3 separate regions of the Mus musculus genome follow, and regions 2 and 3 are each reported to be linked to region 1. Evidence: microRNA targets listed by miRTarBase, many of them from high-throughput screens and not tested one by one. Region 1 holds a microRNA gene; each other region holds the end of a gene's coding sequence.

Region 1 (3,259 bases):
GAAAAGTTGAATCCTAAACAGGAAAACATTTGGATACACTCCAGTGCTGGGAGACCAAATAATTCTGTGTTGCTTTTGATGTCCAGTAACATGGGCAACTGTCCAATTAAACAAACACCCAAGAAGGACTCTGCAATGCCCATTATTTTACTGATTATTCTAAAGCACCATACCTGTCAATCCATTGAGGAGGAGGGAACAGCAAGGGAAACATGATGAATCTACACGACATAAATTAATTAATAGGCAGATTTCCTGAGAGACGGTGCAGATTAAAAAAAAAATACAAATAGGTTCAAAAAGTATGCTTCAGGAAGATCAATGAATATATATTGATAGAGATCAAAAGACTTGAGCTGTGGGCATTACCAAGTTAACATTAATTTCTAGAGATCTATTTTCCCGTTGTCCAGAAGCATTTCTCATGATGCCAGAAACTTATACGTTCATCTTTATGTAGAGTTATTGTATGCCTCTTAAAACGAAACACAGTATGTATACACCAATCATAGCAAATCTGTATCTCCGAGGCCCAGTTCAGCCTGCCTTATGCCCATCCATTGAGCTAGGATCTCCTGGCTCTGTCCTAATATTTCACTCATCTGTTTCCTGCACTGGGTCCACAATTGATATCCTCCTCAAGTTTAAAGGGGCTTAGAGCCTTGTGGGAGGAGCCTCTAACGATTTCCATTTCCTGTGGTCCCTCAGCCTTGGAGCACTCCCCTTTACTCTTGAGCTCTGTCTTCGGAGCAAGTGGTGAAAATTGAAAAGCGTGCCCCCCTCCCGCCCCCTCCGCCGCACTCCCCCCCTCCCGCTCCCCTCCCCAGCTCCAAGTCGGGGGCATTGTTGGGGGCTGGGAATACTGCTTGCTTTGCAGCCTGACTCCTTCCTTCGGGTCTTTTGCTACCCCTCCCCCACCTCCACTCTGCAGAGTGAAGGCAGAATGTTTGTGCCCTAGAAACCAAATCTTTACAATCCTCATCTCAGCACTTGCCTTCATTTCCTCTGTTCACTTACGGCCCCAACTGCTTTCATAGATTTGTTGTTTACAACTTTGAGAGATAAGTAAGGCAGACAAAGTTTCGAGAGACCTGAGGATTCTGAAGATGAAACCTGGGAAACTGCATCATGCAGACTTCATGCTGTGCCAGGTAACATTCCTGCCTGGCCATCAGAAGCTTACACCATAGTGATTAGGACAGAAAATGGAGCTGAACTAGTGTGTTTGGTTAGAAAAGGTCTAGTTGAAACTGTCTAGTCCTAAGAAGGACGAGTGAGAGTCTAACTGCTGGACACTTCCTAACTGAGGCTCAAGATTGACTTCATGATTAAGTAATGACTGTAAGTCACCTACCCATGCATGATTCAATGTGTACAAGCTTAAAAATTGTAAAGTGAATTCACTTTAAAGCTTTGATCCTTTCTATAGACTCAAGTAAATTAAGGGAGCAAATATGAACTAACCATAGAGATTAATTTAGTGGCATCCTCAAAAGAACGTTTTTAGTCATTGTGAATAATCATAAAAACTACCTAGAAACTTAGAAACATTCTTAAGATAACAAGCTTTTAAAAATCAAGGCCACAGAATTACACTAACTCTGGTGGCTGAAAGTAGAGTAGAAACTGGAAAGAAACTGCAAAACAAAGAGACTTTTTAAAAACAGAATTTGTAGTAGGTTGGTTAGCTGCTTATTTGTTTTGTTTTTTTTTCCCCATCTTCACAGTTTTGCTGTTTCTTTGTTTTGTTGTGCTTTGATTTGTGTCCCATTGTGAAATGCTACTCGCTAAAAGGTCTTTAAGGGTACTGGGAGATCCAGAAATTTGAGGTTACACATGCAGGGATCTCAGACGTCTCGGGGATCATCATGTCACGAGATACCACTGTGCCCTTGTGACAGATTGATAACTGAAAGGTCTGGGAGCCACTCCTCTTCCTAAGAATTGGTGGGGTGAGTATTACAGAGATGAGAGGTCAGGAGAGGACTGAGCCCTAGGCAAGGAGGAAAGGGGTTGCCATGGAGTGGGGGAGGGTATGGGTTGTGTTTTTATAGAATGAGAAGGGTTTTATTAATTTGCATTTCTATTCAGTCCACTGAAGCCTAGACAGGACATATGGTTTTATATATAGGCTAAAATATTAAAACTATGTTTTTCCTCAAACAAGAAAAACATTAGCTGTAAGCTTTAGAAAAACAGGTTACCTTAAAAATGTGGAGTCATATAAATAGCCATGAAGATAAATATACAAGCCACGGAAAGTCACGGAAAATGAAAAAACATCAGGATGTTTATTACTATTTATTTATTTATTTATTTATTTTTGAGGCAAGATCTTATGTTACCCAGACTCAAACTTGTGTAGCAGAGGCTCATGTTGAATTCCTTCCCCTCCTAATTCCCCCTCCCAAGGGCTGGCATTATAAGTGTATGCCATCATACCTGCTTGCAATTCTTTTTTTTTTTTTTTTTTTTGAGACTAGGCCTCACTAACTTGCTCATGCTGGCTTTAAATCACTCTCTAGGCCTGCCAGGAGGAATCTGCATCTGTGGCTCATTTGCCTCACCATCTATGTCACTGGGGTTACCACCTCCCTTCACTTCAGTCATTTTGAGGATAAAATGACTTATTAATAGTAAAGGGTTGCATAAATAAAATATGCTCTTCTAAGACAATGTGATAGGATGCTATCATTAAGATTGATATTTCTGAAAATAATTTTTGTGACATAAAGATGTGCCACAAACACTAATAAAAAGCGTTTAATGATAAACATGCAAAATATTTTCTTCTCCGTTTTAATTTTACATACATGGGATCAATATACAGATATAAGGCTAAGAGAACAGATCAAAATATTATAGTTATCCTGAGTTGTGCTTTAATGTTATTGAACAAATATGCTGGGGACTGATGCTGTGGTTGAATGATAGAGGAAGGAGAAAGGCAAACCAAGATGCTGAACTATTTTTGCGATGTGTTCCTAATATGTACTATGAGTATATTGGGGATGCTTTGCATTCATGGTTCTGCATCCATCATATGGACAGTCACCTCCAAGCTGTAGCACCACCAGTGACCAAAGAGAGATACTGAGCTGTTTTTGCGATGTGTTCCTAATATGTGCTATAATTATATTGGGAACATTTTGCATAAATAGCTTTGTGTCAATACACAGGCAAAAGGTTGGAAGAAAGAAGCTGCAAGTCTAACCATAGTTGTTTATGGTTTGTTTTTATAATAGGAATCAGATACAGA
Region 2 (3,259 bases), not on the chromosome of region 1:
TATTATTCCCTTGGAAAATGTCACCATTGATTCCATCAAAGATGAAGGGGAATTACGGAATGGATGGCTTATTAAGACACCGACTAAGTCGTTTGCAGTTTATGCTGCCACTGCCACGGAGAAGTCAGAGTGGATGAATCACATAAATAAGTGTGTCACTGATTTACTCTCCAAAAGTGGGAAGACGCCCAGCAACGAGCATGCTGCTGTCTGGGTTCCTGACTCTGAGGCCACCGTGTGTATGCGCTGTCAGAAAGCAAAATTCACACCAGTCAATCGGCGGCACCATTGCCGCAAATGTGGCTTTGTTGTTTGTGGTCCCTGCTCTGAAAAGCGATTTCTTCTTCCCAGCCAGTCTTCTAAGCCTGTGCGGATTTGTGACTTCTGCTATGACCTGCTTTCCACGGGGGACATGGCCGCGTGTCAGCCGACTAGATCAGACTCTTATAGTCAGTCGTTGAAGTCTCCTTTAAATGATGCATCTGATGACGACGACGATGATGATAGCAGTGACTAAGGATATGCTGTGAAGTATTTAATTGACTGCCTGAGAGTCAGCTTTGGGGGCGCTCTCAGTTTGCTTTAGCCATGACTGCCTGAGAAGTCTTAACCTCTGTGCCTCTCTGTATCCTATGGAAAGCAGCCCCATGCTTTCTGCTCCCCTCTGCACTCTCTCACAGGGACAAACTTGCAGATACATCCGATAGGGTCTTGGCTTTCTACTGTCCTTATTTCTAGATTATTTCCTTGTAAGTTGGAAAGAATGTTTATTTAACAGATCTTGTATTACATTTATTTCCCCCTGATGTGGAAAATCTAAAAGCACAGAATGATGGGAACAAGAGTATGATGTGCTTGGTATCTGGCTTTTCCCCAAGCAGTCGATGTCAAGGTTACGACACCAGTGACAGAGCATGGTTTGGAAATCCTTTATTCTCTTTTCTCAATACCAAGTGGTGCCTTACTGTGGCAGCAGTGTCACTGTCACTGAAATAAACGTAAGCCCTACCTTCTTTCTTGTTTGATTGATTTAGACACACTGGTGCTCTTACAGGTGGAGAATGAGTGTTTGATGGATATAGGTAAGCATATTTATTTGACAGCTATGAGGAACTAAATTTAGAGGTTTCTCCAATCTTATATGAATATTTTTCATAAAATAGTTGTGATTATATTTTTACATCTTTTATGCACCAAATTATAATGGTCACATATGTTTAGCCCGTTGCCACTGTTCGGGATTCGATTTGAAACTCATCACTAGTATAGAAGTGGCATATCCCACTAGCTTCTACTTTCCTGATATATTTTTACAAATAACTTTATTTGCTTTACATTATTTCTAAAAGGAAAAATCTGAGGAAACCCTTATATTTTCCAACAGGGTTCCTCTGTGTAGCTTTGCTTATCCTGGAACTCGATTTGTTGACCAGGCTGGCCTTGAATTCTCAAAAATCCATCTGCCTCTGCCTTTGCCTCCCCAGGCACCACTACCACCTGACAAAAATGAAAAGTCTTAAGAAAATCCTCCCAGGAGAACATGGAGTCTTAGAGATCTGGAAGAGATCGGAGTTTGACTAGGTTTCCTGTCTGCAAGTCAATTTTTTTTGTGAAATTATCTTGATTTACAACGTGGTATTGTATTTTACAGAGTTCATGAAGCCCCAAACAATTTTTATTTTTGTAAAACAATTGTATGTTTAATCTGTTTCTGAAATCATTTTGCAATATATGGAAATAGAGTAGCAGTTGATATTTCTAAATTGTGACCATTGTCCGAGATTGCTTTGAGAACTGGTAGTTATTCTCTTTATGTTTGGAGGCAGCCATTAGGCTGTAGGCCTGCTTACTGCATAGCACTGGACGTGCCAGGCACATTCTGGCCCCTGGCATGCTTAAGTAACTAGGTTTTCAAATGTGGGAAACCAAGCTGAAAGGTCTGTTTTGTTTTGTTGTTGTTTTGTTTTGGTTTGTTTTTTTTTTTTTTTCAGAGTTCTTTTCAAACCCAGTTTCCCTTTTTCAAACTTTAAAACCTGCATAATTCTGCAGATGTCCTAGGGTTTGAGTCAGTAACTTGTGAATGAAAGTCATTGGTATTTGGCTTTGTGGTTACAGTACTAATTTTACTTTGCTGCTCAGTTTTGAAAGTGTGTGAGCTACATAGGTCTCCCTGTAGGAAATGTGAAAAAAAGCACAATAGAACCAGGCTAGGGGCTTTGTTCCTGCTTTTTGTTTTGTTTGGTTTTACTATCAGATGGATGGATTTGTGTTTGTCTCAGAGCAGCATATACATGCAGTCAGTAAGCATGTTTGAAAGGACCATAAAAACCAGAGAAATGCTGATGGGAACTTGGAAGTTCAGAAACCAAGGGGAAATGTCCTGAGATAACATTTGCATTGTCGACCTCAGTTGACTGTTTTTACAATAAAAATATTTTGCAGCTTATTTCCTGTGTTTTTATATTGTAATTGAATATTTTCTTCCTTTTCTAACTAAGATATTATGCATAATTCCACCTTAGTATATATTAGATATGAATGCTTAGGATGTAGACACTAATGAAGAATAGTTTTTTGTTTTTAGATAGACCTATTTTGGCCTCAAACGGACTATGTAGCAAGTAGTAGCTCTAATTGCGAAGCTGAGAATTCCCTTGAACTGATCCTCGTGCCTCCACATCCAGAGGACTAGAATAGCAGGCTGGACTGACCCAGAGTACTGAGGTCCTTCGTTCTTCTAGGCAAGCACCCACCAGCTGAGCCACACTCCAGCCCTGTCCACTCTTTAGGAGGTGCTGATGCAGGATTGGCAGAATTGCTTTTTTTTTTTTTTTTTTTTTTTTTTTTTTTTTTTGACTTGGGAAACTCTGTTTATTGATCCTCAAACCCAATACAAAACTCTGCACAAGTTTTACAGGTCCTTGACCTTGAGGCAACACAGCTGTGCTTGCTAAAGTCGGCTTGCTTGTCTCTCTGGGCTCTGATTCTGCTTTCTGAGACACCAAGAGGATTTCTCCTGCTCTCCTCCTCTGCAGTCTCCAAGTTGGTGATCATCATCTGATTGTGGTGGAGGGTGGAGGAGAGGAGAGGCAGAAAGACCCAGAAGTTTCTCTGTAGGCTTAGAGAAGTGAGCCCCACAGCCAATCCAAAGCCGGATCTGGTCCAGGTTGAGGGCAACAAAGTTTTCTCCGTTACTTTTGGGCAGTGGATCATCGGAGCCCAATTGCTCCAGAAGTGGCCATTCCTGTAACACTTGTGA
Region 3 (3,259 bases), not on the chromosome of region 1:
GGGTAGACTGCCAGAACAGCTCGACTTCTTGCTACTCTCCAATGTCCCAAGAGGAGCAGGGACTAGCAGGAAAGCTTAGAAGGAAAAAAAAACCAGGCTCTTGGTCCTGGTACCTTAGTGGACAAGTTTATCGCATTTAATCATTAGAACACACCTGTTAATAATGATCATCACTATCCTGAAGAAAAAGATTTGAGTAGCTTTTCCAGAACGTAGGCGGCAGAGACAGGACAGGGAAATAGTTTGGGCTACAGGAAAAAACTGACTTGCCCAATTTAGCTGTGAGCAAATGGTGATTTGGGCTTTGTTTTTCTTGCACATTATAAGATTTAGGTAAATCAGGAAAACTCCACAATTTGAACATGACATCAAAGTATTTGTGTAGCCGGGCGTGGTGGCGCACGCCTTTAATACCAGCACTTGGGAGGCAGAGGCAGGCGGATTTCTGAGTTCGAGGCCAGCCTGGTCCGCAAAGTGAGTTCCAGGACAGCCAGGGCTACACAGAGAAACCCTGTCTCGAAAAACCAAAACAAACAAACAAACAAACAAAAAACAAAAACAAAAAACAACCAAAGTATTTGTGTGTCCTTTTCTTCCCACTGACCCATAGCATCTGTATCCCATTTTCAATGATTTACTATTACCTAATACACTGCTATGGGAGTATCTCCTTTGCTACTCAGACTAAAATTTGTAATAAAGCTGAGATGAATTTCTTTTTTGCTACCTCCTCCAAAATGATTTGTAGAAGTGTAATTATTGAATTCTCCTTTGCGAAGAGGTACTTATTAACCTATCTTCTGCACCAAACTTTACCTGGAGTATCCTTGTTACCCACAGCACTGGTGATTAGCAATGCGCTTTTAAACCACTAGCTTCCATCTATAGGCCCAAAATAAAACAAAATCTAGTTTATACTGAATTATAACTAAAATTGTCTGCTTTTCTGTATTGGTCAACTGTACCATCTATAAGAGTCTCATTATTTGCTTCTCTTTTTTATGATAAATACATTTATTAAATTTGTGTGTGTATATGGGGTGGTCATGTGTGGAGAATAGAGGGCAACTTAAAAGATTCAGTTTTCTCCTCCCACTGCATGGGTCTAGGAAGTAGAATCCAAAGCTGTGATTCTCAAAATGTGGGTCTTGAGCCCTTTGGGGGGGGGGGGGTGTCAAATAGCCCTATCACAGGAGTAGAATAGCAGACATCCTACATAACAGATATTTGATTCATAACAGTAGTAAAATTACAACTATAAAGATATTTGTTTATTTGCCTGTTTATTTGTTGAGTGCTAGGGTTATCACACCCTAGCAAGCCAAGCGCTATCACACCCTGACACACCTGTTTTTTCTGAGACAAGGTGTCATTCTGTACACCAGGATGGCATGAAACTCATTGCATAGCCCAAGCTGGTCTTGAACTTGTCAGTCATCTTCCTGCCTCAGCCTCCCATGTGCTGGGATTATAGAAAGTCATTGAGTTTGTCATCAGAAAGATTTTTTTCTTACTTTTAGAAAACAAAACATAATATTTTATTTACTAGGCACAGTAATAGAAACCTGTAATTACAACATGTGAGAGGCAGGAGGATCATGATAACTTCGAGTCCAGCCTGGTTTACATAAGTCTAGGCTAGCCAGTGATCATGTCTCAAAAAAGGAACAAGTAAACCTGTCTGTTTAAGTTAGAGCAGTAACACATTTATCTTCTGGAAGTGTACTGGAGCACAGAACCTTAGGATGGGAAGGCGTGTGTGCACCACTGTGGGCCACTGCAGCCTTCCTCCTCCTATACACGGGAGGTTAGTGACTCCCTCCAGGGAAAACGGAGTAGGCCCAGGATCGTTGAACTATTTTAATCTTATCCCTGTCTAGTTTACGTAAGAATGAGACCCAGCTATGGTTATTTTATTTGACTATGACAGTTACTGGCAGTCACCCCTAATCTACTTTTCTAACTGCTAGCCTCACTACCTCCCCAGTGGTGTATCCCAGACACTTGCCGCTTCTCCTGGCCTTGTGCTCATGGTCCATCTTCCCTCACAGTGGCTTCCTCCTCCCTCTGTCTCCTTTCTTTCTCCTTTGTTGCAACTTCCAACCATGTAACTCAAAACCCACCTATCTCTAATCCTTCCAGTAATTAGCTGTTCCATTTTATTTAACCAATAGTTTTAAATTAAGGAGCAAGGTTTGTACAACAAAGGTTGATAAATGTGAGAACTCACTCCTGGTACAAAATTTAACATTACAATATGTAGCAACAGACCAAACCTCCTCCAAGAGTAAACAATGAAAGTCCAGGTCATGAAGCACATGAAGCCCCCAGGAAAGTCTCACTATGTAAAAAAGGAGATTGTATGTCTAGGACTACAAAGATATTGCATTTGAGAACAGAGGTGCCCAGCAGTGGTTTAAAAACCACTTTAATCCCAGCACTCAGGAGGCAGAGGCAGGCAGTTTCTGAGTCCAAGGCCAGCCTACTCTACAGAGGAAGTTCCAGGACAGTCAGGGCTATACAGAGAAACCCTGTCTTGAAAACAAACAAACAAACAAACAAACAAAAAACAAAGAGAGAGAGAGAGAGAACAGAGGCTTTATTTACAATAATATTCAAACAGGATTTGCAAAGAATACCTCTCCCCTCATATCTTAGCAGCATGAACTATATACAATTTATAAGCAAGAGGAGTATCCTGGAGGATAGGACATGAATTCTCTCCCCCAAAATTAGTTCCAAAGTTCCCAGCTCTGAGTATTAAGTGTAGCTGGGGTGTGTGTGTGTGTGTGTGTGTGTGTGTGTGTGTATGTGTGTGTGTGTATGTGTATATGTGTGTGTGTGTGTGTGTGTGTGTGTGTGTGTGTGTGTGTGTGACAGGAATCGTAGAAGGTAGATGCCAAACACCAGCATCTCACTGGGATCCACAATCAGGAAATACTTCAGCACTGGCCAGGAAAACATCAGGATTTCACCTCACTCATGGCTTCCATGAGGCGAGCACTGTTTGTAACAGCAGTTGTCAGAAAAATAAATCTGTACCCTAAGAGTCAAGAGAAGTAGCAGAAGTGACTAAATAGACCTCAGGTCCCAACAGGCCAAGCCCACCACTCCCACAGCGCCTCAGTGCCCCAGGATCAGAATGCAGGGCTACAGGCACAGATACATCTGGGCATAGACACATCTGGACCTGCCTGTCCCCAACAAGTGAGGAGAAAAATAGAAAATAAAACTATCAGTTGTTGGCTGGGCAGTGGTG

The links. The annotated mature microRNA mmu-miR-542-3p reads UGUGACAGAUUGAUAACUGAAA and lies in region 1 at 1,894-1,915, shown strand. An mRNA with a match to its seed (bases 2 to 7 or 8) in the 3' UTR can be bound and repressed. Matches are read on the target gene's strand: a 7mer-m8 pairs with bases 2 to 8, a 7mer-A1 pairs with bases 2 to 7 and ends in A, and an 8mer does both.
Region 2: miRTarBase lists Plekhf2 as a target of mmu-miR-542-3p. Seed matches in the 3' UTR shown: 7mer-m8 at 982-988.
Region 3: miRTarBase lists Vps33b as a target of mmu-miR-542-3p. Seed matches in the 3' UTR shown: 8mer at 2,873-2,880.

Annotation. Positions count from the first base shown.
Region 1 is chrX:53,048,071-53,051,329 of GRCm38, reverse strand. It overlaps Mir542 (microRNA 542), which reads left to right and starts at 1,843; the gene lies at 1,843-1,927. Mir450-1 (microRNA 450-1) reads left to right here and starts at 3,086; the gene lies at 3,086-3,176. It overlaps Mir450-2 (microRNA 450-2), which reads left to right and starts at 2,963; the gene lies at 2,963-3,031. Mir450b (microRNA 450b) reads left to right here and starts at 3,252; the gene lies at 3,252-3,259.
Region 2 is chr4:10,987,849-10,991,107 of GRCm38, reverse strand. It overlaps Plekhf2 (pleckstrin homology domain containing, family F (with FYVE domain) member 2), which reads left to right. Exons shown (of 2, transcript NM_175175.4): 2 at 1-2,446. The coding sequence ends at 517. It also overlaps the pseudogene Gm2401. Among named protein-coding and RNA genes, the nearest start is that of Plekhf2, 18 kb to the left of the region's middle.
Region 3 is chr7:80,290,899-80,294,157 of GRCm38, reverse strand. Vps33b (vacuolar protein sorting 33B) reads right to left here. Exons shown (of 23, transcript NM_178070.4): 23 at 2,579-3,043. The coding sequence ends at 2,964. Among named protein-coding and RNA genes, the nearest start is that of Prc1, 1.9 kb to the left of the region's middle.